7 linked regions of the Macaca mulatta genome follow. The protein of the gene in region 4 interacts with the protein of the main gene of each other region in a pairwise test. Links are inferred from orthologs where the notes say so. Each region holds a gene or a part of one and is shown on either strand. Other genes may lie near its edges.

Region 1 (4,225 bases), on a different chromosome or scaffold from region 4:
ATGCTGAGAAATGATTATTTCCCTTAAGTATTTTAGCGGCCTCCAGGCAGACCTGATAAATATTCAGCGAGTGATTAGCTGGTGCATCCCCACCTGCGTCCTTTGCATAGCCATGTCCGCTACTCTTTCACAGGCAGTTTTACTTGGTAATTTACAAATGTACCGGCTGCACTCTGCACCTGACAGTATTGCAGTAATTAGCTTGGGATGCAAAATGATTTCTAAATTAAGGTCCTAGACTTGCAAAATCAAGAAAGCCTGATAATCAACATCGTCCCTCTGATGGCCAGTGAATAACGGGATAAATACCTAAGACAAGTCCTTTAACCATCCCACGTGGTGATAAATGCCCGACGTACAAATTAAAAGTCTCTACGACACGCAGGTGAAATACGGTATAGGTCAAGAAGAGAAGGTAGGGGAAAGGGTCAATGCTTAATTAGTTAAAAATCGCTGTCTTCCTCCTGTAGGAAGGTCTAGAGCCTGTGTCCTTTAGGGCACACGTGATGAAAGCGACATTTTGGCCAGGTGAAACCTCAAGCTGGTACAGGCTGCTAACACACGGGCGTCGTGCCCCGGAGACATCGGGGGTCCTGAAGATGGGGAAGGGACTCCCTGTTGCGTGTGCTCAGGGGTTAGCGGGTGAGCACCGGGCGGGAGGCTCCGGGGCAGGGGCTGCGCGTGGAGCCTACTCCGGAACGCGGGCTCCTCTCGGCCCGGCACGGACGGCGCAGGACTCCGAGCCGGTCGATAAGACAGAGAGAGAGCGGGAGTGGGAGGAGGAAGACGGGGAGAGGAGGAGGCCGGACGGCAGGAGCGGAAGAAGAGGAGGAGAACTGAGGCGGAGGAGGGCGAGAGGGTGGAGAGCCGGGAGCAGGAAGGGAGGAAAGAAAAAGGCGGCGGAGGAGCGCGCACCCGCCACTCCCGCCCTCCTCCTCCTCCGCATCCCCACTCGGGCTGGCCCTCCCCGGGCCGCCCGCCGCCGCCGCCTCTCCCTGTTCAGTCTTCCCAGCACCGCCAGGCGCCCTCTGCCTCCTCCGCACTCGGCGCGGCCCGCTCGGCGCCGCCGCCGCCCCCCCCCGCGCGCTCCTGGCCCGCGCGCCCCCGCCGTTCTCGTCCGCGCGGCCTCGCGCTCGGGGCATGCGCGGTGGGCGGCGCCGCTCCGGGCCGCCTCTGCCGCCGCGAGTAGGAAGCGCGAGCGCCGGGCGCCGGGCTGTCAGTGAGCCTGGGGCCAGCGGGCGAGCCAGCGGCTCAGGCTCCGGCTCCGGCTCCGGCTCCCGCTCCCGCTCTGCGCCGCACCGGCCTGACTCTCCCCGGTCCCCGCCGCGCCCCCTCGCCGCGACCTCGGCCACCGGCCCGCGCCCCCCGCCCGGGGTCGCCCCGAGCCCGCACCTCTCCGCCGCCGCCCCCGCCCACCCGGCCCTCCGCGGCCGCCGCTCCCCGGCGGAGGCAAGAGGTGGTTGGGGGGGACCATGGCTGACGTTTTCCCGGCCAACGACTCCACGGCGTCTCAGGACGTGGCCAACCGCTTCGCCCGCAAAGGGGCGCTGAGGCAGAAGAACGTGCACGAGGTGAAGGACCACAAATTCATCGCGCGCTTCTTCAAGCAGCCCACCTTCTGCAGCCACTGCACCGACTTCATCTGGTAGGTGCCGGGCCGGGCACCCCTGCCCCGCTCCTCCCCGCCCCTGGGTCCCGGTCCCCGGCGCGCCGGCAAGTCCGCCCCGGGGCTGGCTCACTCCGAGAACTTGGAACCGGCGGGAGTCCGAACTCTCGCCCGGAGTGACACGCGCTCCCGGCCCTGACACCGGCGGGCAGGACTCCCGGGACGTCGCCGCCCCGCCACACACACCCCCTGGCGCCGGAGGGAGGCTGGCCCCGTGCGGTGGCGGCGGGGATCTTTCCCCGGGCCGGGCCCGTCACCTCCCCGGGGGCGTCCACCCGCACGCACCCAGCGGAGCGGCCGCTTGCCGGGGTGGGAGCCCAGTGGACAGGGGAGGAGGAGAGGCCCGAAGGAGCGAAGGTTCCCGGAGAAACGCGTCCCGGAGTAACGGGGGAGCGGCGGCGATTGCGCTGCGCGGTCCAAGTTGCTGGCGAGCCAGGCTGGGCGCGTTCGGGGGGGTGTGTTTGTGCTTCCCATCGGGCTGGACCGCGCTGGAATCTTGGGCCCCTGCCTACTGTAGGCTGCATCTACTGGGCACGGACAGACTTTGACTTTTCTGAGTGAGCAGAGAGAGAGAGAACAAACTGTTGAAAGCTTGCAGTGGGGGAGGGAGAGTTCGAGCAGGCAAATGGCACAAGGGCAGAGGGACTCATTTAAAATAGACCCTGTCGGCCAGGCGCGGTGGCTCACGCCTGTGATCCCAGCACTTTGGGAGGCCGAGGCAGGCGGATCACCTGAAGTCAGGTGTTCGAGACCAGCCTGGCCAACATGGTGAAATCCCGTACTACTAAAAGTACAAAATTTGCGGGCGTGGTGGCAGACGCCTGTAATTCCAGCTACTCGGGAGGCTGAGACAGGAGACTCGCTTGAACCCGGGAGGCGGAGGCTGCAGTGAGCCGAGATCGGGCCACTGCACTCCAGCCTGGTCGAGACAGAGCGAGACTCCGTCTCAAAAAAAATTAAAATAGACCCTGTCAACACGAGATTAGACCTGTAACCCTGTTGATGAGGACAGAGGCCTTATTTAAGAAAAATAACATAAGGGCCAGAGGTGTCAGAGTTCAGGTAATCGCCAATGAATTCAGGCATTCTTAACTCGGAGGATCCTTGGGGGCTTATGGAGAATCGATACATAGAAGGGCTTCAGGGGTCTCTGAACCCTGCAAAACTGGGTGAAATTGTGTTTGTGAATCTTTTTGCTGGTGAGAGAATTACAGCTTTCATCTGATTCTCAAAAGTGTGTGACCCTTCTTCCCAGCTCCCCGTCACCACACAGAAGTTTAGAAAGCTGGAACTAAAGGAGCTCTAGGTCCTCTAGTTAGAGCAGCAGTAGTTTGGTTTTTCTCTTAGATTGCCGGATGCCCTGACTCTTCTACCTCTTCTTTGTCGTGTAGCAATTTCCTGACAAGACAGAGCTATGGCTAGGGCTTCTTAGCTCCCTCCCCTTCTAGGCCAGGGGGAGCTACCCAGGGTGGCAGTCATGGAGTGAATCCTGCCACCAGCCAGCTGTGTGGCACAGGTATCTTGGGCCACTAGAGTGAACATAATATGGATGGATCTGTCTGAATCCATCACACCTGGGGAAAAACATCCCAAAGGTCAGGTCCCATGATCGTGGTGCTGATAAGGTGTTTAATTTTTCCTTTCCTTTTTAGACATCTGCTCCCAAGTACACTTTTACGAAAAGCACAGCCACCTCTATGAGTGATTTCCACTGTCTAGTCAGCATATGAAGCGATTGTGCTCAAAGGAGTAGGTAATCGTAGATAAGGCTATTTAAAATACAATTTCGGAGCATCAGGGCAAAGAGAATATTGCATTTGGTTAAGAGGAGGTGGTCAACTGTGAGAGTCCATTAAAAGGGAACAGACTGCTGGTGACTTTTGCAGGAAGTGGGAGAGTTAGAAAGGGACTTGCAGCCGACCGAGGCTAGCTAGTGTCTTTCCACTGTCAGTTGCCCTTGAAGGATCAGCCCTTGGTGAGCTGAAGAGGCGCTCAGGTCACTAGCAGTGTTGTGAAGTGGAAGATAAAGGCCCCCCTGAGTATCCCTGCAGCTCTCTGCATTTAATTGTAAACCAACCAATTGGAAGTCCCAGGAAACCATCTACAGGGATTGTCTTTTTCAGTTTGCTTTCATTGTTGTTTCTACGGGGTCCTTGATTTGCAAGTTTATTTCAATATTAAATCACTGATATTTTTAAGTGAAATGTTTAGAGTTCATTATGGTTTTTGGTGAGGGGGGATGACTCTTAAGTTAATTTTAAAAGTATGTGAAATACTTTGTGCATTAAACATTCTATGTGAAGCAAGAGGTTATGACGCTCAGCCTTCTGAAGAAATGTTAATGCAGTTAATCCTAGTAGAACAATACCTGCAATTGAATGTCCATGTCAGGGTTCTCTGCTTACAGAGTAAATTCTCTAAAGTCATTTACAAGAACAAAATACCCTCCGTACGTGCTTTGACTGCTGTCGGTTCTCAGTCGAAATTAGATCATGGTAATCTCAAATGCAAACAATAGGAATGATATTTTCTAGCATCTGGTTCCTTAAGCCAAAATTA
Region 2 (4,245 bases), on a different chromosome or scaffold from region 4:
CAGGATGTGGGGTCTGACTCAGTAACAGATAAAGTGGCAGCGTGTGTCTCATAGCCAAAACAGCCCTTGGATTGGGAGTCAGGAGTCTGGGGTTCTCGGTTGGCTCTGCCTCCTGGCACACTGGGTTTCTGGACCTCAGTTTTCTCCTCTATAAAACCGGGGGTTGGCCGGGCATGGTGGCTCACACCTGTAATCCTAGATCTTTGGGAGGCTGAGGTGGGCAGATCGCTTGGACCCAGGAGTTCAAGACCAGCCTGTGTAACATGGCAAGACCCTGTCTCTACAAAAAGTACAAAAATTACCCGGGCGTGGTGATATGCACCTATAGTCCCAGCTACTTGGGAGGCTGAGGTGGGAGAATTACTTGAGCCTGGGAGGTCGAGGCTGCAGTGTGCTGTGATGGTACCACTGCACTCCAGCTTGGGAAACAGAGCGGACCCTCGAAACAAACACAAAAATGAAAAACAAGCAAATGGAGAAATAAAAAAAAACCTAGGGGGTTGTAGTAGATGATCTCTAAGGTTAGTTATAATTGAGGTATTGGAATATTTAGGAAAGAGCACTGGGAATATACTAGGAACACTTGATGGAGATATCTTTATTTCCACGGCAGCTTAGTGGATATGTCTCATTGATGCTCATGGTATCACTCTCCCCATGTAGGTGGGCAGGCATTGTTACCCCTATTTAATAAATGAGGAACCAACAGAGGCTTAGGAGAGGAGTTGCCTGATGTCCCACGATTGGTGGCAGAGCCAGGATCAACAGTGGGGCAGGGTAGGGGGACCTGGCCAGGCAGCGACTGGATGAGACCTGGGGTGAGAAGTGGCAGGGACCCAGTCAGGGCAGAAAATGAGGGTTAGGACTTACTTTGAGGTTTGGATTGGATCGGTAAATTCCCAAGAAAGAGGGAGACTAGGAGGCTAGTGAAGAATTGTGGAGTAAAGGGGAGGATTACTAAGGGACATGGAGTATCTATCATGTGTCAGACGCTTATCTATGTCTCTCGTGTCTGAACAAATCCTTGCAGGAACCCCAGGAGACAGGTTATCTCCACTCTGCAAATTGGAAAACGGACCCAGAGAGGTTCAGTTATGTGTCCGAGACCACCCAGCTAAGAAGCTAAGCATTCTGAACTGGAACCCAGAGAATTTGACTCCCAAACTCTGGGTCTTTTCATTGCTGTGTTCCATTTAGGAAAGGCTAGGGATGCGGGGAAGCGGCTTATTGCCCCTTGGTGTTTGGTTGGGAGTGGTCGGATTGGTGGGTTGGGGGCGCAAGGCAGCCAGATCTGAGACTCTTGCGCTTGTGACTGGACTACAAAGAGTTAAAGAACCTTGGGCCTCCTCCTCCCGCCTCCTCTGGCCTCCTCCTCCAGCTCTTCCTGTCCCGCTGTTGCAACACCGCCTCACTCTTCCCCTCCCACCTCCTCTCTCCTCCTCTCTGCTTTAATTTTCTCAGAATTCTCTGGACTCAGGCTCCAGTTCTGGCCTTTGGGGTTCAAGATCACTGGAACCAGGCCGTGGTCTCTATGCCCGAGTCTCAACCCTCAACTGTCACCCCAAGACACTTGGGACGTCCTGGACAGACCGAGTCCCGGGAAGCCGCCAGCGCTGCCGCTGCCACACTGTCCTGAGCCCAAATGGGGGAGTGAGAGGCCATAGCTGTCTGGCATGGGCCTCTCCACCGTGCCTGACCTACTGCTGCCACTGGTGAGACCAGGGACAAAGGGAAGAGTGGGCTGGTGGGCGAGGCACCGCCCGGCCGGCGTGGGCCCTCTCCGGGAGGGGGCCGAGCCTCTCCTGCCCGGGCCTGGTCCTGGCGCCGGCCTCAGGCCTGCAGGTCCTAACGTCAGCCACTGCCAGTGTGGGGTTCCCCATGCATCCACCGCTTGGAGTAGGGGCTGCGCTGAGGCAGGGGAATGGGAGAAGTTTGAGAGGGAGAGAGTAAAAGGAAGCCCTGAGCCCTGACAGCCGTGGAAGTTTGCGAGGGCCAAGGGAATGTGGGCAGGTGATAGGCCCAGGGTGGGGCAGATTTGGCGGGGAAAGGAAAGGAGTGGGAGTAGGAAGGTTAGTGCTCTGGGAGTCCAGACGGTTCTGAATTCTGTCCCTGCAGTCAGCTGGCTGGCCTGCAGTGTGCTGGGCCGTGGGGAGGCAAGGCTGCCTGTGGAACCTGGCAGAGCACACCCTGTAGGGCAGGAGTTTGGCGGCTGGTGAAGTGGGGGAGTGAGTTGAGGAGTGGGGATGGGGTGGTGTGGTGGGTTTGGGATGCCTGTGGCGGGAGGTATTTGAGAATGGGCTGGGACACTGGATGGGGCAAGGCAACCCAGTGGACAGCGTCCCCAGTACCCTGGCCAAGCCCCGGTCTCTCACCTGGGGACATTCTTTACCCTTCTGCCTGCTGCTAGGCGGGTGGCCTCTGTGGGACTGAGCCTGCCCAGGGAGCTAGCCCTACCCCCACCTGGTCAGTGTCGCTGGGCCTGTCCTCCAGCTTCCCCTCCCCGCTGCTTTCCACAGAGCTAAACAACAATCCCTTGGTTTCTTATTCTACAGTTCAGTTTGGGGAAGTTGGTAGAAAGTTGTTTTCGTCACTGGAAAATGTCCCTTTCTCTGGCTTCAGCCTTGTTTCAATGTATCCTTGATCGTCCTCCACGTCTTGGCCCAGGAATCATCCCGTTCAGATGCCCTGGGCCCATCTAGTTGGGCAGATTTTCCCTGTCCTGTTGTGGCCCTGCCCTGCCCGGCCTCTGAAGGCTGCGCCTACCTCCCCTCTCTTTAGTGCCTTATACTTTTCCTCTCCCACCATTCCTTTCTTTCCAACAATCTCCCCAGACTCTCCTCAGACTTCTCAGAGCCTCTTTTTTTGAAATCTTTTCTCGCTAGTCCTCCTTCCCCTCCTCTCTGCTCCGCTCCGGTCCCACATTTCCAGCCTCAGGTCCCCAAACAGCACGTCCCTTGTCAGGGTCTCACTCTTCTCCTTCTCCCTCCTCCTTAGTCCCACCCCCTCTTCCCTTCCTCCCGCTGTCCTTCCCCCCACGGTCTCCCCACCAGCCAGCTGCCCTGACATCCTGCTTCTGTTTTCTGTTTGGGGGCAGCCCTGGCTCCCTCACACACCTGCTGCACGAACAGGAGCAGCTTCTATAACCTAACCTTCCATGCCTTTGTTTCTTTATCTCCACAACGGGGGTCATAGTCATGACCTCATACTGTTGTTTTGAAGATTGAATAGACTGATACATGTTAAGTGTTCCTTTGATTTGTTAAGTGTGCACTCTGGGCTAGACACTGTGATAGGTGCTGGGATTACAGCAGAGAACAAAATCCCTGCCCATAGCTTTGACAGTCCATCAGGGAAACAGGTTGTAGCAAATAGAAAGCACTCAATAAAGTGTTTATATTGCTGTGATTAGTAGTAATTACTGGGTGGTTACCCGTGTTTGGAAAATAGAGGGTAAATGTAGCCTGAACAGGTAAAGGGAAGTGCCTGGGTCCTGGGGTGCTTCAGCCCAGGTGGGATTACGTCTCCTAAGAGACAGAAGCCTGGCCTGGAGCTGGGGGAAAGGGGAAACAAAGGGAATGCAACATCCTTCTGAATGTCTCACCATTCAATGGGCAATGCAGAGCGTACTGTGTGGGGGGTGGACGTAGGGGCGGGGGGGGCGGTGAGGTGAGGTAGGGGAGTAGGGAAGAATGATACAGGAGAAATGGTGGCAAAGCAAACAGGATTTTGCTGCTCTCAAAGAGCTTACAGCCTAGGAACCAAGATGGCTTACAGTGAAAAATGATGTCAGAGCAATCCGGAGGAAAATATCCACAAATGCATGGTGATGTGGTGTCCTGGAGCACCAATGGGAGGAGAAGGAACTGGGGAAGGAGACGAGCCTTAGTCCACTGCCTTGCCTTGCTTAGCCGGTCTCAGCTCCTGTGCTCAGCTCCAGAAAATTCAGGAGCTTCCCCACGCTGCTTCAGTGTCCTTCGCCGTGCAACTGCAGCATTCCCTGTGTAGAGGTCAGTGCCAACAACTGACTGTCTTTGACTCAAGCGAGAGTTCTTGAGAGCACGAGCTGTGTATTATCCACCTCAGCATCCCTAGCACCCATACAGGACCTGTCACATAAACTGTACTCCTTAGCTATTTGCTGAATGAATTAAGGAACAAGAGATGGGTCAGATGGGATGGGGGAGGGAAAGCCTCATAGAAAAGTGGATGTGGAGCTGACATCTGAAGTCACTGCCTGTCAGGGTA
Region 3 (4,120 bases), on a different chromosome or scaffold from region 4:
CTCTCCGGTCCCAGCTTATAGCCTGGTAGGAAATGGTGGAGAATGAGAGAGGGAGATTAGAGGACAAACCGGCCTCCTGCAGAGCTGACATTCAGACACGGAGTGGGAGTTGCGGGGGAGACAGGGTGCCCAGGGACAGCTCCCCAGACTCACACACACTTTCTATTACTGCTTGGGAGCAGTGGTTACCCGTTGGAGGGGGCAGATAGGGAGAGCTGCTGCCCATGAGAACTCCCCTCCTCAAGTCCATTCTGGCCCTGGGCACTATTATTATCACAACTTTCCAGATGAGGAAACGGAGCACAGAGCTGTTCAGTAACTTGCCCAAGGTCACATGGTTAAGTCCCGTAACCTCAGTTTCCTTATCTGCAAAGCAGTCTTAATAATGGGAACTACCTCATAGAATTGTGGTTTACAACGATGCCTGTCACATAATACTTGCTATCATTACCATTCCCTGCCCCCACTAAGACTCCTTCCACCCAGAATATTGCGGCAGAATATTAATAGCTAACATTCGGCGAGCGCTTCCTGTGTACCACCGTAGTGAATATTAACTTGGAAAATCCTCACAACATTTAGCATCGTCACCACGCCCATTTTGGCCGCCGCCAGCCAAAATCCAGTGGCAACCTCGCTCTCGACCCAGCCACAACCAGCCCGCCCGCTCTACGTCATCAGGGCGTGTCGCGCGGGAAGTCGCGGGGAAAAGAGAAGACGCCCCTTCCTAATTCCCTCGCTTCCTTGCTTCCTTTCGCGACACCGCCGGCCCGAAGGGCTCTTAAGTGACTGGACAGGGACGGAGGGGCGGCGGCTATGGCATCCAGGACGACAGCGACGGTAGCCGAGGCACGGGAAAACTTGCGCCTCAGCCCCGTTGGGAACTGCCGGCGCCTGCGTTTTACGCAAGCGCAACACAGCTGGCGTAGCACGCCGACGCACCGCCCCGACGCCCGTGAGCTCGCGAGAGGTGTGGCTCAGCACAGCTGGCGTAGCACGCTGGCGCGCTCCCCCGCCGCGCTCCCCCGCCGCCTGTGAGCTCGCGAGAGGTGTGGCTCGCGCGAGGGGCGCGGCCTTGAGGCACGCTCCCCTCTGGAGGCGGGATCTGGGCGGGCAGTCGAGAGACCAGGCCCAATGGAAAAGAAAGGCCAGGGCGCTCGCGTCCCCACGGGTCGCCAGAAACTTGGCGGAGCGAGCCAAGGGCGGAGTTTGAGAAAGGGGCTGCGTCCAGTGAGTGGAGCGGCGAGTACAGCGCGTCGACGGCGGAGGCGGGAAGGGGGCGGAGGCCGACCGAAGGCGGCTAGGGACTGGCTGAAGGGGGTTAGCGAAACGTTAGCGGTCGGGTCTGGGCAGGGGGTGGAGCTGGTTGAAGGAACGGGGCAGTCCCCTGAGGAGCGGGGCTGGTTGAAACGCTAGGGGCGGGATCTGGCGGAGTGGAAGGTACCGGTCCGGCCCGATGAGGGGTGGAGTTAAGTGAATCGTTAAGGGTGGAGCCGGGGCCGGGGCCGGGGCCGGGGCCGGCTGAGTGAGAGGGTGGGTGATTATCCCGGGAGGTAGGCCGAAAGGGCAGATTCGTGAAGGAATGGGGTCTGGGCCGGGCTTAGAGGGTCTGGGAATGGGGTTTGGGAGAGTGGAAGGGGCGGTGATTGGTTGGAAAGGGCAGGCCCTAAAACGGACTGAGTGAGCCAGGGGGCTCATTGCTCAGTGAAAGGGCAAGACTAGGGAAAGAGAATCCTGTAAAAGGGGTGGAGTCTAGCGGACCGGGCGGGGCCAGGTAGAATGGCCACCTGAGTGGAGGGAGAAGGCCTGAGAGAGGCGGAGTTTGGAAGGCTGTGGAGAATCAGATCGTGTAAGGAATGGAATCTAATAGAGGGGGCGGAGCCTGGAAAAGGGCAGAGAGGTGGGGTCCTCAGGGCACACTAGCCCCCTCACATACCCACGCTCCCACCTCTCCAGAACCGCGGCAGGGGTCAAGCCTCCTCAACTATGACCTCAACCGGCCAGGATTCTACCACAACCAGGCAGCGAAGAAGTAGGCAGAACCCCCAATCTCCCCCTCAGGACTCCAGTGTCACTTCGGTGAGGCCCTAGACCCGCCCTCATGAGGGGGAGAGGGAGCAAGTTGGTCATTCCCTGGACTCTGACCCTTCTCTCTGATTCACAGAAGCGAAACATTAAAAAGGGAGCCGTTCCCCGCTCCATCCCCAATCTAGCGGAGGTAAAGAAGAAAGGCAAAATGAAGAAGCTCGGCCAAGCAATGGAAGAAGACCTAATCGCGGGACTGCAAGGGATGGTGAGCAGGGCCTGGCTGCAGTTTAGACTCCTATGACAATCAAAACCCAAAGGTTCCCAACCCTGGACAGTTCCCTCTGACTCAGGGCCTGAAATGGATCTGTATGTCCTTTTTTTTTTTCCTCTGCAGGATCTGAACCTTGAGGCTGAAGCACTGGCTGGCACTGGCTTGGTGTTGGATGAGCAGTTAAATGAATTCCATTGCCTCTGGGATGACAGGTGAGGCTGGGTCCTCCAGGCTGTCTCCAAAACACAAAAATACACACATTTAGAGCCCATTAGCAAGAATAAATCCTTTCTTACCCCAGCCTGGATACTGGAAGCAGATGATTTGGAGAGGTAGGGCTCACACTTGAAAGGGTTCTTCTGTGTAGCTAACAAACATTTATTGCCTATTGTGTGCCAAGAGTTGGTGATACAAATGTACCAAACAATAGACAGGGTCCTTTCTCTAGGAGCGGATTGATGAGTAGGAGGGCAGATCATTAAACAGCCAAGAGCAGTATGATGTGTTTAATGAAAACAGACTAAAGACCAGGGGATTCAAGGGTGTATAAAAGGATCCTAAACTAGTATCCAGGCTTCCCAGAAGGCTTTATAGAGGAAGAGACGTTTGTACTGAAACAGAAGGATGAAACCTCCCATTTGCTTTACTTTTCAAAAAGAATCAGCAAATCTTTTTGACTATATGTTCTGACCTCTCCTCACCACCTCCACTGCCACCATCATCATCACTCACCTAGACTTGCAGAAGCCTCCTCCGTGGTCCCCTGCTTCCAGCCTCACCTCTATTGTCTGTTCATGCAGCAACCTAAAAAAATATGTATGAGATGATGTCTTTGTTAAAATACTTTAAGGAGGCCGGGCACAGTGGCTCACGCCTATAATGCCAGCACTTTGGGGGACCAAGGCAGGTGGATCACTTGAGGTCAGGAGTTCGAGACCGGTCTGACCAACGCAGTGAAACACCGTCTCTACTAAAAATACAAAAATTAGCCGGGCGTGGTGGCACGCACCTGTAATCCTAGCTCCTTGGGAGGCTGAGGCAGGAGAATCACTTGAACCTGGGAGGTGGAGGTTGCAGTGAGCCGAGATTGTGCCATTGTACCCCAGCCTGGGCAACAAGAGCAAAACTCTGTCTCAAAAAAAAAAAAAAAATGCTTTAAGGGCAAACTGTTGCCCTCAAGGTAAAGTCCAAATTCTTCATCGTGGCCTCGAAGGTTCCACATGATCTGGCTCCACATCACTTTGTGACCTCATCAGCCAATCCTCCTCACCCACACTAGTCCCCTTGTTCTTCCAACATGCCAGGCACCCTCTTACCTCTGGTCTGTACCCTGACCAACCCCTTTCCCAGAGATTCTTTTCGGCCTTCTCTTCCAGCTACCTTTCACATCCCAATGAGACTTTCTCAGAGAAGGTTTTGCCTGACCAAACCCTACCCCAGTACCTGATCTTATTTTCCTAGCCCATGACATTGTTTGCTAATTGTCATACTTGTGTGTTTACCAATTAATATCTATATCCCTTATCCCAACCTAAGAGTAACTTACTATGGGAAAAGACTTCTTTTATGGAATACCTATTTACCATCTATTGAGGAGCTAGGAATGCAGCAGTAAACAAAACAAACAAAAGCCCGTGCCTTCAGGGAAAAGGGGGAAGACAGACAATAAATAAACGAAAAGTAAATGATGCACTGTGGTAGAAAAGGGCAGTGTTATGGAGAAGCAGTAAAGGGAGGATAGTAGGAGAAAGTACAGTGGAGGAGACTTCAATTTTCAATACGCTGGTCAGGGCAGGCCTCACTGACATTCGAGCAGGGATC
Region 4 (4,014 bases):
GCGCTTGCCGTGGTGAAAAACCCACCGTTCAGGCTGCAGGGCGTGAAACCCAGGCACAAACACTTCGCTGGATGCGGAGGAAAGATGCAAGGTTGCTCCCCTTCAGAGACAGCAAAGGGCAGATCTGTAGCTCTACTTACTTCAGGATTATGATTTTTGACAGAGCCGGGAGATCAGGGTTGTTGAACCAGGCCTGAAGGTCCTAGTGAATCTCGTGAAGAGAGGAGGGGTCTGACTGTAACATGGACCTAGAGGACATTCTTACTGCAGGAGAAGCAACAGTGGGGATGGGGTGGACTTGCCAAAGGAATGTAGCTCAAGTTCCTGCAGCCTAAAGCAGCTCAGTTTCTTTCGGCCAAACTTTCGCGAACTTCCCTGGCATTTCTCCTGCGGGAGCTACCGGTGCAGTGGGACACTTAGCCTCTCTAAAAGCATCTCCACAGCTGTTTGTGTCAAGCCTTTATTCCAAGAGCCTCACTTTTGCGAAGTAACGTGCTTCACACATTGGCTTCAAAGTACCCACGGCCGGTTGCAGTAAACATTGAGGAGGCCTGTCTCTGCGCCCAAAGTTGGGTGCTCTCATTTCAGACGATTTCTAGGGTGCTTCACGGGATCTGAAGGACCCTCGGACTTTAGAGCACCACCTCGGACGCCTGGCACCCCTGCCGCGCGGGCACAGCGACCTCCTCAGCTGCCAGGCCAGCCTCTGATCCCCGCGAGGGTCCCTGGGTGCTGCAGGGGAGGTGGGGACCAGAATAAAGGAGCAGTTTCCCCGTCGGTGCCATTATTCGACGCTGGCTCTAGGGCTCGGCCAGTCTGTCTAAAGCTGGTAGAAGTTTGTTCTGTAAAACAAAAGAAGGGAAAGGGGGAAGGGGACCCTGGCACAGATTTGGCTCGACCTCGACATAGGCTGGGCCTGCAAGTCTGCGGGGACCCAGTCCAGAGGGGCAGTGCTGTGAACGCCCCTCACGGAAATTAACTCCTCAGGGCACCCGCTCCCCTCCCGCGCGCCACCCCCTTCCCGCGGGAGACCGGGTCCCGCGGGGGTCACCGCTGTCCACCGCCTCCGGCGGCCGCTGGCCTTGGGTCCCCGCGGCTGGTTCTCCTCCCTCCTCCTCTCATTCTCCTCCTCCTCTGCTCCTCCCGATCCCTCCTCCGCCGCCTGGTCCCTCCTCCTCCCGCCCTGCCTCCCCGCGCCCCGGCCCGCGCGAGCTAGACGTCCGGGCAGCCCCCGGCGCAGCGCGGCCGCAGCAGCCTCCGCCCCCGGCACGGTGTGCGCGCCCGCCGCGGCCAAAGCGGCCGGAGTCCCGAGCTAGCCCCGGCGGCCGCCGCCGCCCAGACCGGACGACAGGCCACCTCGTCGGCGTCCGCCCGAGTCCCCGCCTCGCCGCTAACGCCACAACCACCGCGCACGGCCGCCTGACTCCGTCCACTATTGATCCGGAGAGCCGGAGCTTGCTCTTCGGGGAGCAGCTATGCGACCCTCCGGGACGGCCGGGGCCGCGCTCCTGGCGCTGCTGGCTGCGCTCTGCCCCGCGAGTCGGGCTCTGGAGGAAAAGAAAGGTAAGGGCGTGTCTCGCCGGCTCCCGCGCTGCCCCCGGATCGCGCCCCGGACCCCGCAGCCAGCCCAGCCGCGCACCGGCGCACCGGCTCGGCGCCCGCGCCCCCGCCCGTCCTTTCCTGTTTCCTTGAGATCAGCTGCGCCGCCGGCCGGGACCGCGGGAGGAACGGGACGTTTCGTTCTTGGGCCAGGAGAGTCTGGGGCGGGCGGGGGAGGAGACGCGTGGGGCACTGGGCTGCGGGCCGGCGGGGAAACGGCCGCCTGGACCTCCGGCGCCCCGAACCGCTCCCAACTTTCCACCCTCACTTTCCCCGCCCCGCTGCGCGGAATCGGCGTCAGTGGGCGAAAGCCCCGTGCGGGTGGGTGCCTGGGGCCGGGGTCCCGCACGTGCGCCCCGCGCTGTCTTCCCAGGGCGCGGCGGGGTCGCGGCGCGCACCCGAGGGACTGGCGCTGCCCACCCGCCGAGGCTGCGCTGTTTAGGGAAGCTGAGGAAGGACCCCGAAAATAAAGCCTCCCTTCGGACCCCGCGGGACAGGCGGCTTCCTGAGCGAACCTCCCTGCCTCCGCGCTCCGCGCAGGTCTCAAACTGAAGCCGGAGCCGGCCAGCCTGACCCCGGCCCCTCTCCAGGTCCCCGCGATCCTCGTTCCCAGGTGTGGAGTCGCAGCCTCAACCTGGGAGCTGGGAGAAGTCCGCCACCACCTGCGGCGCCTGGGAAGGGGTGGTGCTGGCGGCGGTTAACTTCCTCGTTGGCAAAAGGCAGGTGGGGTCCGACCCGCCCCTTGGGCGCAGACCCCGGCCGCTCGCCTCACCCGGCGCGCCCTCGTCTTGCCGGTCCAGGTATGCCCCCCACCTCCTGGGGACCCGAGCTCCCTCCCGGGCGCCGGCGCAGAAAGGCCCGGGCTCTCGTTCGGTGGCCGCCTCGCGGGGACGTCCGGGTCTGCCCCACCTGCAGCCCTTCGGTCGCGCCTGGGCTTCGCGGTGGAGGGGGACGCGGCTGTCCGGCCACTGCTGGGGGGATCGCGGCCTCTAGTGCGGAAGCCCAGGAAGCAGAGCTCATCCTGGCCAGCACCACGGTGTTTCAAAATGGGGCTCACAGCAAAGTTTTCTCCTCAAAACCCGGAGAGTTTCTTTCTTGGATGTTTCTTTTTGCTGTCTGAAGAATTTGACATTGAGCCAACCAAAATATTAAACCTGTCTTACACACACACACACACACACACACACACACACACACACACACCGGATTGATGTCCCTGGTTCAAGTGTGCCAAGTGTCCAGACAGAACATGAGCGAGTCTGGCTTCGTGACTACTGACCATAAACCCACTTGACACGGGAAACATGCCTCGGAAGGTTTAATTGCACAATTCCAACCTTGAGCTGCGCGGGTTCCAAGAGCCAGGCCCGTACTTGCTGTTGATGTCACTGGCATGGGGAGTTGGGGTTTGGTGCCCAGCGCGGTCGTTGGGGGAGGGGCAAGACATAGAACAGTGGTTCCCAGACCTTGCTGCACGTTAGAATTACCTGGGATTAAAAAAAAAAAAAATCAAAACAAAAACCAGTGTCTGAATCCCGCCCCCAGACATTCTGATTTAATTGGCATGGGGCAAGACCTGGACATGGGATTTTTTTTTTAATGCTTTTCATGTGATCTGTTGGGGAGCCAGGTTTGGGGATCACCGGACGGAAGAAGGATTGTTAAAGTCTCCGGAGAGATTACTTGCCAATGCAAAGAGCTCTTTGAGGACATCTGGAATTTTAACAATGTTGCCAAATATAGGAAAGAGGGAAAAGGTGGGGTGTGGTTCCAATAATAAAAGATTCCTCTTTTCATTGAAGGAACTGGTGGAAAGGTTTCTTCTCTGCTGAGCTTGCAGGGCCCCTCCTGCCTGCTTGGGGGCTGACTGCGGGTCCTGTTAGTCAGGTGTCAGCCCTGTCTCTGCTGAAGAGACTCTTCTCTTTATTTTAAATTAAACCCTCAGAGCACCTCCAAAGCATCACTTTTCTCCCTCCAGTGGGGTTCTCATTCTTTGATGTTACTTGCTTGAACACCACTGTTAGTGATTGGAGATTTGTTCCTGAGAAAAATATAAATACCACTTAATTTGCCTGTTTATCCCGTATTCACTCAAAACAGAAACTCCTGAAGACAGAGAGAGTAGGTGAACAGGCGCTATTCTGTTACAGTAACATAAAAGACTGAATTTTCAGGGGCAAATTATTAAAGTAGGAGATGAGCTCTTTTAACAGAAATTTGTTTGAGACCTGTGTCTATCAAATTCAGTCGATTTTATTCAAGATGCACTTTGTTTAGTAAGGGTTTTGTTTGGTTCTGGGACATGCTAACTTCTGGACTTGCTGCTCTTAGACGTAATGACTGCCAGACACCGTTTCATGCGTCCTAATCCCCACATTAAGCATAAGAGGTGTACACTCTCCTCCTATGGGGGAA
Region 5 (3,500 bases), on a different chromosome or scaffold from region 4:
CTCCGCACCCACCAAGTCTCTGCCACTGGTCTCACCTAGGTGACCTGGCAGCGGGGAGTGGGGTCTCGGCAGCGTGGGCGAAGTGCTGGTCAGGATGAGGCTTTTCCGGTTACTGGTGCGGCAGCTGCGGGGAAGGCAAGGCAGGGGGGCCGGGCCGGGCCGCAGCCCAGTGAGTTCTTGTGCCCCACCAGCTGACCTCCCGTCTCAGATCCCCGCCTATCTCCCATCTATGTGTGTTTGGAGGCTCCCTGGGAGGGTTTCTCGAAGGAAAAGGTGGTGGAGGCTTCGGCAGGACTGTGTATGGCAGGGGATTTGCATGTGACATGTGTGTGAGAAACTCCCAGTGTTGATTATGTGTACGGCAGTGTCTGTCATGGTGTGATAGTCACTGTGTCTAGGTGACACTATTGGTGATAGTGTGTTTCGGTCTATGCGGGACATTCACTGTAGGTATCCACATGTGGCATCCACTGTATGAATTCCACAATGTGTGACCCCGAACGCATTCTAGTGTGATATGTGTGACACAACGTGTGTTTATCTTGTGTGACACAATTTGAGCATTTGTGTGTCTATGTGACACAGTGTGAAATGCCACTTGTCCATAACAATGTGTGCTGTAACACAGGGAGGCTGCATTTTTTTTTTTTTTCTTTTAAGTCAATGTCTCGCTCTGTCGCCCAGGATGGAGTTCAGTGTGCAGTGGCTCACTGCAGCCTCAAACTCCTGGGCTCAAGCTATCCTCCCCCTTCACCCTCCTGAGTAGCTGGGACTACAGGCGCCTGCCGCCATGCCTGGCCAGGATGCATGATCCCCCCTACATGTATCTATGTCTTTGTGTGGCATTCTGAGTCTATGTCCGATACTGTCCTTCCGTCTGGGTGTGACATTCACCATATGTGTCCATGTGTATGTAGCATCTATTGTGTGAATTTAACATCTTGTGACACTGGCCATGCCCAAACATATCACCACGTATGACATTCTCTAGGTGAGTATCGCATGTGATAACGTGTGATTTTGCGTGGTTCTCTCTCTGTAAGATCCCTACATCTGTTTATGCTGATGTTAGTGTGACACAGTATGTGAGATTCCTAGATATGACATCATGTGTTGTGACATTGTTGGATGCATGGATGGGATATTGCCACACATGTGTGCATCTTGGATGACATAATTGTGTGTGTGGATCACCATGCAAGTGACATCTTACTAGGTGTACACGACGTGGTGCCCCTGTGTGTCTGTGCATGGTTCTAACCTGTGGCAGCTGCAAGGCTAGGTATGTGTGGCACCTCCCAGTGTATCTGGGCCACTAGGGCTGTTGTGTGTGTATGTGTGTGTGACATCATGTCCTGTGTGACGCTGTGTGTCACTATTTTCAGTGTAAGACTGTGTTCTGGGGGGGTTGTGTTATGATAAACCCCCCCTTTTTTCTACCCCTCAGCATCCCAGCTCCCGAAGAGGGAGCCCCAAGCCCCTCCGTCCGTCCCCTCACCCACAGCCGCAGTGACTGAGCATATTAGCGCGTCCAGGAGCACGCGGCATGGGGGTGGGGGGAGGCCAGGCTGCGGCTATTGTTCTGAGGGTGCCAAGCCCCCCAGCCTCCCCTTCTTCCTCTACCCCCACCAGGCTGTTGGAGCCCGCAGCTCCAGCAGACAAAGGCGCCACAAACCCCCAGTGGCGCAGCCCCCTCCCCCCGCGGCCGTCCTCTCCAGCGTGCAATCCCCCCAGACTCGGCCCACACCACCCCCATTCAACCCCATCCCTGGCGGGAAGGCGCAGCTCGGGCACCTCTGGCGCAGCTGTACCGGGCGCAGCATCCCGGGCCCCGCCCTGCAGCAGCACCCGGAGCGGAGGCTTTTGCGGGGAGGGCTGGGACAGTGTCTAGGGGATCGGGGGTCTACCTCTTGGTGCGGCGGAACATACTGCCGCCGGGGAAGGAGGGCATCGAGAAATTGGAAAGCGCGGTCCAGAGAGAGTCAGACATGACCCGGCGGCGGCGACATGGTGGCAGGTGCGGCAGCGGCGGCGGCGGCGGCGCGGGGAGCAAGCGCGCGGGGCGGAGGCTGGAGCCGCCGCAGCGGGCAGGGGAGGGCAGGGAAGGGGAGGGCCCTGCGGCTGCAGCTGGCCGGGAGGGGGCGCTGCTGTGTGCGGGCGAGCCAGGCCCCGCCCGCGCACGCGCCTGGCGCCCCCACCCCGGCGGGAGAAGGGGCGGCCAGCCCCCGCCACGTCTCTCCCCAAGGCTCACCTGCTGCTTTTCCGGGGCAGGGGCAAATCCTTCTGGAAGGCAAAGAAGCAAAACGATGAAGGTCAGCGTGGACCTACCGTTGCTGCCCACAAGCATGCTCAGCTCCCTGGAGGAGCAGAAGCAGGGTAAGACAGGCCCCTCTTCAGCATTGTCACTTTCACCCTTGGCCATGCACTGCGGGCCAAGTTTCTTGGGGGAGAGGATCCCCGGGTGATTCCTCTCCTGACCCTCAGAGACCAACAGAGACCCAAGTACACAGGCGGGGTCCCGTATAAAGGCAAGTGAGTTGGCATCTCAGTGTGTGTTTGTGCAAATGAAATAGGAATCTTTATTTGAAAAATATGTCTTGAGCACTACTGTATGCTGACCCTATCCTAGGCACTAGGGACACAGCAGTGAATAAGTTACAAGCCCGGTGTGGTGGTGTGCACCTCTGGTCCCAGCTACTTGGGAGGTTGAGGCAGGAGAATCGCTTGAGTCCAGGGCAACACCAGCCTGGGCAACACAGCAAGACTCTCTGTCTCAAGGAGAAAAAAAAGTTTCTGGCCTTTTGGGACTAGTATTTGTAGGGTAAAGGGGACACTAAACAAGATTAGTGTAGAAGTGAACAAAATCATTTTAGACAGTAATTTGTCTTATGAATAAATTAAACAGGGTGATATGATGGACAATGGCTGGGATGGAGACACATTGTCAGAGAGGGCTGCTCTGTGGAGGTGGCTTTTAAGCTGGTGGCTGAAAGATAAGAGCCAGCCATGGGAGGATCTGTGGAGAGAGAATTCCAGGTGGAGGGAACTGCAAGGGCAAAGGCCTGGAGGCGGGAATAAGCTTGGCATGCTCAATGAATGAATGAAAGGTTGAATGAATGAAAGGTTGAAAGAATGAATGACTCATCTACACCTCAACAGATCGATCTGACTCCCAGCTAGAGTCACAGAGTTGGGGTAGGGGGTGGGGGGTAGGTAAGTAGAGTGACTCACAACTGAGATTTAAAATGGGAACCAGGGAGGCTAAGGTGGGAGAATCACTTGAGCTCAGGAGGTCGAGATTATAGTGAACTGTGATTACACCACTGCTGGAGTGAAACACGGTCTCAATTAAAACAAAAATAAAAACAAAAACAAAAACATAAAAAATTTAAAAAATAAAAAAATAAAAATGGAAATTCAGGTGATGGCCACGTAGTCATTTTTTATAATGACAATAATAATAATTATTAGTGGGTATTAAGTTTATGTGTCTGCATTTG
Region 6 (4,028 bases), on a different chromosome or scaffold from region 4:
GTGATCTGCCCACCTTGGCCTCCCAAAGTGCCAGGATTACAGACATGAGCCACTGCACCTGGCCAACATATTTCTTTACGCTGGTTTCTTTGCCTCTGCTGAGATTAGACTAAGGCACAAAACTTCTCATATCCTAATGACTATACTTTCATTCCCACCGTTAATCAGTCAACAAAATATGTTCCTACTTGTCTAACATTTTCAAATGCAAAGTAGCTCCTATTAGTGTTATTATCTTTCTCTTCCCATTGGCTTAATCATTCTCAAAAATTCTCTAGTTACCCACAAAATGCCATCTCTCTAGGCAGACTCTTTTTATACTTTCACCACCTTCTGTCTCTATCCTACTTCCCTGTTTTCTCCCTTAAAAGTTATTCTTCCCTTCAATCAAGGCCTTTATATCCCTTCTCCCTACCAGTTTCATCAAGGTCTGCAGAAGTGGTAAGCTGAGTGGCAGTTATCTCCCCACTGCTAAGATTCGAAAGATCGAGGCAACGTTTTGGGGTTCCTCTGTTGAGACATAATGGTACATCGAAATTTCCATTAGATTGTTATATCCTTAAAAGTCAAAGATCATGTCATCCTCTTCTTTTTTTTTTTTTTTGCAATAGAGTCTTGCTCTGTCTCCCCGGCTCGAGTACAGTGGCACGATCTTGGCTCACTGCAACCTCCGCCTCCCGGGTTCAAGCGATTCTCCTGCCTCAGCCTCCCAAATAGCTGGGATCACAGGCGCCTGCCACCACGCCCAGCTATTTGTAGTAGAGATGGAGCTTCACCATGTCAGCCAGGCTGGTCTTGAACTCCTAACCTCAGGTGATCCGCCCACCTCGGCCTCCCAAAGTGCTGGGATTACAGGTGTGAGCCACAGCGCCCGGCCAATCCTCTTCATCTGAAACACCCCTTAATGACTATCAGATTATCTGAACACTGTCCAAATAAATCTAATTGCTTTTTGGAAATATCTCAGACTGGGCTGAGAAAAGTCTCCCACTACCATAATCTGTACCTCATTTTCTCCTTACCAACATATTGAAACAGATAATTTTTTTTTTTTGAGGCCCAGAGTTTATTGGCCAAGGAGGATCTTGACTCCACATTCCCTGTCCTGAGCACCATGAACACAGGCTTGATTTCTCCCCGGAGTCCCTAGTTTTTCTCAGGTACTACTTCTCTTCGTTTGCTAGTTGAGACATGGTATGATCAGAATTCAAAGTACAACTGCAATAACGTTAATATTAATACTAATAAAGTGACCGACTCATAATGCAGCAGTTTTCAAAGACTTTTGCCAGATATCACATCATTTGATTCTCACAAGATCCTAGTAAGATAGGAAGAGATTATTATTTCTTTCTTGTCTTTTCTTTTTGAGATAGAGTCTCACTCTGTTTCCCAAGCTGAAGTGCAGTGAGGCGATCTTGGCTAACTGCAGCCTCCAGCTCCTGGGCTCAAGCAATCCTCCCACCTCAGCCTCCTGAGTAGCTGGGACTATAGGCATCACCACGCTCAGCTAATTTTTAATATTTCTTGTAGAGACGGGGTCTTGCCATGTTGCCCAGGCTGGTCTTAAACTCCTGGACTCAGGCGATCCGCCCTCCTTAGCCTCCCAAAGTGTGGAGAATACAGGTATGAGCCAACTCGCCTGGCTGATATTATAATTTCTTGTCACAGAAAAGAACTCAAAAGGGTTACACAGTCAAGGGCAGAGCTGAGACTTAAACCCTGACCTTTGAGCCAGGATAACTGAAAACAAACCAACAAACAAACCCAACTGTTTGGAAATAGCAAAGGCAACAAAGTGTAAAAATAAAAGTATATTTACCCAGACAAAATGCTTAGGTTTGTAGAATCACCAAGAAATTTGCCCACTGGAGTGCTAGGGACATCTGGACAGACAGTAAAGGAAGTGTCTCTCTCCAGGAGCAGGTTTAACATTTTCCTTTGATTAGACCTAAAACTTGGTCCTGAGCCAGAGCTTCCTTCCTCTCTTGTGGATGAGAAGAGTTCCGTAGACATGGTCTTCGAATTCTCACCAGGAGAAAAACAAAACCTAGCTAGGAGGAAAACGTCATCTCTATCGGTACCTCTCAGTTCCCTCAGCTTTCCCAAACTCCTCCACCCTTTCCAGCCAGGCGGATCAGCATTGGAAGAGGGGCATTCCCGAAGGGTGATTCACAGCCTGGCTCCAGGTTAGAACCTGAATTCACCGACGAGAGGCAACCTTAGGACCTTAAAGATGGAATGAAGAGAGGATTTTGACTTGTTCCACGCCACACAGCTCGAGACTCCTGACCAGAAAGAACCCAGGTCGTAACTCGCGACAGTGCCCATTCGGCCCTCCCAATCTCTGTTTGTGTGGGCCGACTGGACCCTAAGAGGACAATGGGGTCTCCGTGATTCCGTGGCGGAGACGGCTGCGGACTTACCTCAAGCCTGGAGTCTGAGGCTTGCCTACAAGAGGAGGGAAAGTGGATAGGGATCGGACACAGGCGAAGACTCGAGCAGAATGAAAGAAAATCTGGGGGAAAGGAGGCAGTTAACCAGACTGCAACTCTGCCTCCCGACTGGGTAGGCCAACGTCGGACTCAGCGTCTTCCCCGCGTAGGAGGCCAAAGTTATGGCCTGCGAGCCAGAGTATCAACAGCCGCAAGCGTTGACCATTCAAACCTTCCGCTCGCCCAGTAACCTATCCCCGCTCGCCTCTAAGCTGCGTCAGCCAATCTCCGTGCGCGCGCCCAGACCCTCACGGCCTATCGTTGGGCTGGCACATTACCCGGCGTGTGCTTGCTCTGGAAGTGGTAAGACTTGCCCCGCCCCATAGCCAGAGCAGGATAGTGATTGGCCCACCAGCGTTAGGCCGGCTGCGGGGTAAGCTCCGCCTCACGGGGAGCCTGCCGCATCATTGGCTCTCCCTCTCACCAATCGCCACACCCTTTCTGTTTTCTTCTTTCCCTCGGCCCCACGAACCCCGGGAGATTTAAATCGCACCTTACTAGTGATGACCATTCGCTAGGATAATACTAGGAGAGATTCTTTTGGGTGGAGGGTGTTGTAAGCGTTTCATTTTCCTTGCTTCTTTCTCGTGCCGTTTTCGCGGACGTTTTCTTCTGAGTTTTGCTGGCCTTCCACGGGACATGGAGCGTTTGCTGCTGGTGTGGCAGGTATTGGGGGGAGACAGGTGTGTGTGTTTATGCTGAGAGGCATTAGCCCCTTCCAAGAGCTTTCTTTGTTTGGCGTTTCTTTTAGTGTGCGGCATCTCAGAGACGCTAGTTTACGTGGGTAAAAAGAAATTCCATTGCAGGGAAAGTGGAGGAATTAAATTATCTTGGTATAATCCTTATCACAATCCAGAGGACCTCAAAGATTGGTTATTCATGGAAATTTGAACATTGACGAGGTGATATTTAGAAATTACTGGCCGGGCGCGGTGGCTCACGCCCGTAATCCCAGCACTTTGGGAGGCCGAGGTGGGCGGATTACATGAGGTCAGGGATTCAAAACCAGCCTGGCCAACATGATGAAACCCCCGTCTCTACTAAAAATACAAAAATTAGCTGGGTGTGGTGGCACACACCTGTAATCCCAGCTACTTGGGAGGCTGAGGCATGATTAATTGCTGGAACCCGGGAGACGGTGGTTGCGCCACTGCACTCCAGCCTGGGCATTAGAGTGAAACAAAAAGACATTCCTAATGTTAGGGATTTGCTTTTAAATAATCCTGTGCTGGGGGAGGGTATTGATGATACAAGATTGACCCTGAGTGTTGAGTGATAGGGGGCAGGAAGGTCCATCATATCTGTGCATGTCAACGTTTAATTTGCACACTAACCACCTGAGGACCTGTTAAATGCAGATTCTGATTTGGGAGGTCTGGGTTGTGGTTGCGGCCGGAGATTCTGCCCGTCTAACAAGCCCCCAGCTGATGGTGAGGTAGCTGGTCATAGGAACATACTTTGAGCTGTAAGGTATTACCCCATACTCCTTACTTCAGTGTATATTTGAAAATTTCCATAATAAAAATGTTCAAA
Region 7 (4,072 bases), on a different chromosome or scaffold from region 4:
ACAGGACTTAGTGCTACCTGAGGGCTTAGAAAGGACAGACTGGAAGGGTGTACGGCAGATGGGGGTTGGGGAAGGGGTGGAATCTGGAGATTAGACTATTCAGCCTGAGGTTAGACTATTCAGGGTCTCCTAATCAGGAGTTTGGGTTTTCTCTTAAGGGTGCTGGGGCCATGGAAGGCTGGGAGTGAGGGTGTGCCATGGTTTTATTATGTCTTAGAAAGATCCCTCGGCCAGGTGCAGTGGCTCACTCTTGTAATCCCAGCACTTTGAGAGGCCGAGGTGGGCAGATAGCTTGAAGTCGGCAGTGAGGCCAGCCTGGCCAACGTGGTGAAACCCCGTTTCTATTAAAATACAAAAATTAACCGGGCGTGGTGGCAGGCACCTGTAATCCCAGCTACTCGGGAGGCTGAGGCAGGAGAATCGCTTGAACCCCGGGAGGCAGAGGTTGCAGTGCGCCTAGATTGCGCCACTGCACTCCAGCCTGGTCGACAGAGGGAGACTCCCTCTCAAAACAAAACAAAATAAAACCAAACCAAACCTCTAGCTGCCATGTGAAGGGTAAATGAGGGAGGCAGAGTGCATGCAATCAACGCTGTGATCTCAGACAAGAGAATCTGTAAAAAGGCAAACAGGAGAGTTTATTTGAAGATTCAGGATTTGGGAAGCTGAACACAGGAAGAAAGGGGATGGTGCAACACACTTCTGAGCCTTGCTCAGGACTTGAAATCCAGAGTGCCTTCATTTAAAAACTCAGAAACACCCTCAGGGTTGGACCTTTTTTGGCTTGAGAAGCCACCCATTTTTCAGAGATGGGTAACTGAGGCCCTAGAGAGGAAGGGAAGATTTGTTCAAGGTCACACAGGTAGCTGACAATAGGGCTTGACGCCCGGGTCCGGCTCCGCGTAGGGCATGGCGCTGCCTTGCAAAGCAGCCACACCCGCCAGCGACATTCACAACCCACCCCCCAACCCTAGAGGAGAGCAGGGAAATCCCACTTTAAGAACCGAGAAACTTTTTACAGCCTTGGAACACGGTAACTTTGGGAGCAGAGGCCACACCAGCTCTGTTTCCCCGCGCGCCCCTTCTCTCATTCCCTATTGGCTCTCTCTACCAGGGGTACCGTCCGGGGACCCTCTGGTCACCTTGTCCTCCGCGCGCTCTATGGCGAGAGGGACCTGCGCAGGCGCGTGAAGGGCCCCTTCAGGGCCCGCGCTTTACGACACTTGTGCGGCAGCGGCGGCGGCCACCCGGCGCTCCTTCGCGACGGTTCGGCCGGGTGCCGCTGGCGGCCGTTGCCAGGGTAGGGGTCGCTTTGCGGCATGGCGATGGCGGAGGGCGAGCGGACTGAGTGTGCTGAGCCCCCCCGGGACGAGCACCCGGCTGATGGCGCTCTGAAGCGGGCAGAGGAGCTCAAGACTCAGGCCAATGACTACTTCAAAGGTGCGCCCGCCTAGCAGGGAGGGTGGACAGCGGCTCAGGCCGAGGGTGCCGGGCCCGCGCGGAACCATGGCAACGCGGAGCTGCAGTCTGGGCGCGGGGCAGGCACTACCAAGTGACTGGGCGTGGGGAGGCCCAGGATGGCGCTACCAAGGGGCGACATAGGGGGCTTCGGAGAGTGATACCTAGGAGTGGCGTGCGGAGCGGGTGCTACTCAGTGGAGAGACTGAGGAGGGCGTCACCAATTGTGGGGCGAGAGGGGGACTGGAATGAGGGCGCTACCAAACGTGAGGCCTGTAGAGGGCGCTACCAGGCAGTGACATGTGGTGGGGGAGTGAGTGATGGCGCTACCAAATGGGGAGTCCTGGGGTGGGTGCCGCCAAGTGGGGAGTAGAGGAGGGACAGTCCCAATAGAGGCGGCAATCGTGGGGGTGGGGAATGGATCATTAGATGGGGGGAACAAGGAAGTAGAAGATTTGGGCTGACCGAGGAAAAGGAATGTGATGGTGGGGGCCTTGGGAGTAGGGGTGGGAATCCCCAAGAATAGTATCACTTAGAATATTGAGAAAGAGTCAAGTGTGGGGCACCCATTCATTCATTAATTCAACAAATATTTATTGAGTACCTGTTATGTGCCAAGGACTGTGCTTAACTCTAGGGATATAGCAGTGAAGGAGAGAGATGTGGTCCTGTCCTTAGCTTGTAATTTTGCAGGTGAACCAGACGTGAAAAAAAAAAAAAACATGTAAATAAGTAAAATACTTAAATTGTGATGAGTGCTTTGAAAGCAAACCAGCAGCGTGATGAAGTAGAGAATAAGGGTTGGAGGCTACTTTAGATAGGGTAGTGGGGGAAGGCCTTACTGAGCAGGAAGCATTTAAGCTGAAACTCACAGAGGAAGAACTGGAGAGGAGTGTTCCAGGGAGTTAAGGCAGCCTGTGCAAAGGCCCTGGGGTGGGGAATGAAAGGACACTGGCATGGCTGGGGCTTTTGCTAGTTAGCGGGAGACCAATAGCAAGATGAGATTAGGACAGAGGGCAGATCATGCAGGGTCTCCCCGAGTCATTGCAAAGAGCAGTTTGGAATTTTTTTTTTTTTTGAGACGGAGTTTCACTCGTGTTGCCCAGGCCAGAGTGCAATGGCGCAATCTCAGCTCACTGCAACGTCCGCCTCCCTGGTTCAAGTGATTCTCCTGCGTCAGCCTCCCGAGTGGCTGGGATTATAGATGCGCATGCACACCACCATGCCCACCTAATTTTTGTATTTTTAGTGGAGACGGGGTTTCGCTGTGTTGGCCAGGCTGGTCTCGAAACCCTGACCACAGGTGATCCGCCCACCTCAGCCTCTCAAAGTGGTGGGATTACAGGCGTGAGCCACCACTCCTGGCCCTACAGGAGGACACACTGAGTAAGTAAATGGGACAGTCTGGACTGGAGAAGAATTTGGGTGTGATCAAACTATGGTTGGGAATGGATGAGATAATCTAGTAAGAGGGTCTAGAGAGGGGACTTAGGACAGATCCCGAGTGGAAGAGGGGGAGGCTAAGGAGGACCGCTTAGTGAGGTGGAAAGGAAGCCAGGAAAGGTGTCGGGAAGGCGGAGAGAAGAGAGCGCTTATAGAACAAGGAGCTGGTGCCCTGAGTCCGATGCTGCCAAGGCGAGCACTGGCCATTGGCTTTGGCTCCGTGGATGCTGATGGTGATGTTGACAGGAGCAGTTGTTGGGGAATGACGGGGCTGGTGCAGCCAAGAGGGCGCTGAAGAGTGAATGGGAAGGGAGGGAGTGGAGAGAGCAAATGTTAAGTGTTAGGAGTATTGGTTCTGAAGAAGAGTGGAGAAATGGGGGAGGGTGGTAAGAAGTGAACGTGCGCAGGAGTTCAAGAGCAGCCTGGCCAACATGGTGAACGTCGTCTCTACTAAAAAATTAGTCGGGTGTGGTGGCACACACCTGTAGTCCCAGCTACTGGGGAGGCTGAGGCAGGAGAATCGCTTGAACCTGGGAGGCAGAGGCTGCAGTGAACCAAGATCACGTCACTGCATTCTAGACCGGGCAACAGACAGAAAAAAAAAAAAAAAACAACATGCAGTGTCAGGGGAAGATGGATTTTTTGTAAGGATGGAAGAGAGTAGAGTCCAGTAGAGATGGAGAATTGATTCTGCATGTGAGAGGGGAGACTTGCAGCAGCAAAACCCTGGAGAAGGTGGAGGTGGAAAGGATCTGGACCCCTGGAAAAGAGTTGGCCTCCAGCAGGAGCAGAAGCAAAGTATGGAGAAGTTTGATCTGGTGGGAGCCATGAGAGGGAGGTAGGACCAGTGAGAGATGAGGCCAGAGGTAGAACCTTGGAAGTCAGATTGGGGAATGTGGGTGTCATCCTGAGGGTGGTCGATGCCATGGGATGTTTCAAGAGTGGGGTGCCGTGGTTCAGTTACCATTCAGAAAAGATCCCTGGCTGCCATGCAGAGACTGGACTCCAGGGTAAGACAGGAAGGAGGCTAGATTAGTGGACAGGTGAGGGGTGGTGATCGCCAACCAGGCTGGAGGGACAGAAATAGATTCAAGAAGTGTTTCAGAGAGGAAGTGAGAGTGGCTGCCTGGAGAGAGGGTAGACGGTACTCCAGGCAGAAAAAAAAAAAAAA

What was found.
Region 1: the proteins of EGFR (region 4) and PRKCA interact in binary tests that used the Homo sapiens proteins (3 or more experiments, as listed by UniProt). The link is inferred for Macaca mulatta from reciprocal best matches to the Homo sapiens genes EGFR and PRKCA.
Region 2: the proteins of EGFR (region 4) and TNFRSF1A interact in a protein complementation assay, tested with the Homo sapiens proteins (3 studies listed by BioGRID and IntAct, with this or other methods). The link is inferred for Macaca mulatta from reciprocal best matches to the Homo sapiens genes EGFR and TNFRSF1A.
Region 3: the proteins of EGFR (region 4) and HDAC6 interact in binary tests that used the Homo sapiens proteins (3 or more experiments, as listed by UniProt). The link is inferred for Macaca mulatta from reciprocal best matches to the Homo sapiens genes EGFR and HDAC6.
Region 5: the proteins of EGFR (region 4) and MAST1 interact in binary tests that used the Homo sapiens proteins (3 or more experiments, as listed by UniProt). The link is inferred for Macaca mulatta from reciprocal best matches to the Homo sapiens genes EGFR and MAST1.
Region 6: the proteins of EGFR (region 4) and CDC25C interact in a protein complementation assay, tested with the Homo sapiens proteins (3 studies listed by BioGRID and IntAct, with this or other methods). The link is inferred for Macaca mulatta from reciprocal best matches to the Homo sapiens genes EGFR and CDC25C.
Region 7: the proteins of EGFR (region 4) and PPP5C interact in a protein complementation assay, tested with the Homo sapiens proteins (2 studies listed by BioGRID and IntAct). The link is inferred for Macaca mulatta from reciprocal best matches to the Homo sapiens genes EGFR and PPP5C.

What each region holds. Positions count from the first base shown.
Region 1 is NC_133421.1:76,041,815-76,046,039, forward strand, and holds the start of PRKCA (protein kinase C alpha type), read left to right. Parts: upstream 1-1,425; 5' UTR 1,426-1,472; coding exon 1,473-1,645; intron 1,646-4,225. UniProt on the Homo sapiens protein: Calcium-activated, phospholipid- and diacylglycerol (DAG)-dependent serine/threonine-protein kinase that is involved in positive and negative regulation of cell proliferation, apoptosis, differentiation, migration and adhesion, tumorigenesis, cardiac hypertrophy, angiogenesis, platelet function and inflammation, by directly phosphorylating targets such as RAF1, BCL2, CSPG4, TNNT2/CTNT, or activating signaling cascade involving MAPK1/3 (ERK1/2) and RAP1GAP.
Region 2 is NC_133416.1:7,274,592-7,278,836, reverse strand, and holds the start of TNFRSF1A (tumor necrosis factor receptor superfamily member 1A), read left to right. Parts: upstream 1-1,445; 5' UTR 1,446-1,673; coding exon 1,674-1,712; intron 1,713-4,245.
Region 3 is NC_133426.1:48,878,877-48,882,996, forward strand, and holds the start of HDAC6 (protein deacetylase HDAC6), read left to right. Parts: upstream 1-1,320; 5' UTR 1,321-1,440; exon of another isoform or gene 1,441-1,456; coding exon of another isoform or gene 1,457-1,468; exon of another isoform or gene 1,469-1,849; intron 1,850-1,956; coding exon of another isoform or gene 1,957-1,986; coding exon 1,987-2,079; intron 2,080-2,164; coding exon 2,165-2,293; intron 2,294-2,422; coding exon 2,423-2,511; intron 2,512-4,120.
Region 4 is NC_133408.1:73,468,115-73,472,128, reverse strand, and holds the start of EGFR (epidermal growth factor receptor), read left to right. Parts: upstream 1-1,214; 5' UTR 1,215-1,475; coding exon 1,476-1,563; intron 1,564-1,702; exon of another isoform or gene 1,703-1,758; intron 1,759-2,114; exon of another isoform or gene 2,115-2,254; intron 2,255-4,014. UniProt on the Homo sapiens protein: Receptor tyrosine kinase binding ligands of the EGF family and activating several signaling cascades to convert extracellular cues into appropriate cellular responses.
Region 5 is NC_133424.1:13,395,912-13,399,411, reverse strand, and holds part of MAST1 (microtubule-associated serine/threonine-protein kinase 1), read right to left. Parts: intron 2,284-3,500; coding exon of another isoform or gene 2,252-2,283; 5' UTR 1,991-2,251; coding exon 1,908-1,990; intron 125-1,907; coding exon 36-124; intron 1-35. UniProt on the Homo sapiens protein: Microtubule-associated protein essential for correct brain development. Appears to link the dystrophin/utrophin network with microtubule filaments via the syntrophins. Phosphorylation of DMD or UTRN may modulate their affinities for associated proteins.
Region 6 is NC_133411.1:147,195,034-147,199,061, forward strand, and holds the start of CDC25C (M-phase inducer phosphatase 3), read right to left. Parts: upstream 2,801-4,028; 5' UTR 2,427-2,800; intron 2,055-2,426; exon of another isoform or gene 2,051-2,054; 5' UTR 2,017-2,050; coding exon 1,823-2,016; intron 511-1,822; coding exon 416-510; intron 1-415. UniProt on the Homo sapiens protein: Functions as a dosage-dependent inducer in mitotic control. Tyrosine protein phosphatase required for progression of the cell cycle. When phosphorylated, highly effective in activating G2 cells into prophase.
Region 7 is NC_133424.1:58,844,825-58,848,896, forward strand, and holds the start of PPP5C (serine/threonine-protein phosphatase 5), read left to right. Parts: upstream 1-1,272; 5' UTR 1,273-1,319; coding exon 1,320-1,440; intron 1,441-4,072. UniProt on the Homo sapiens protein: Serine/threonine-protein phosphatase that dephosphorylates a myriad of proteins involved in different signaling pathways including the kinases CSNK1E, ASK1/MAP3K5, PRKDC and RAF1, the nuclear receptors NR3C1, PPARG, ESR1 and ESR2, SMAD proteins and TAU/MAPT.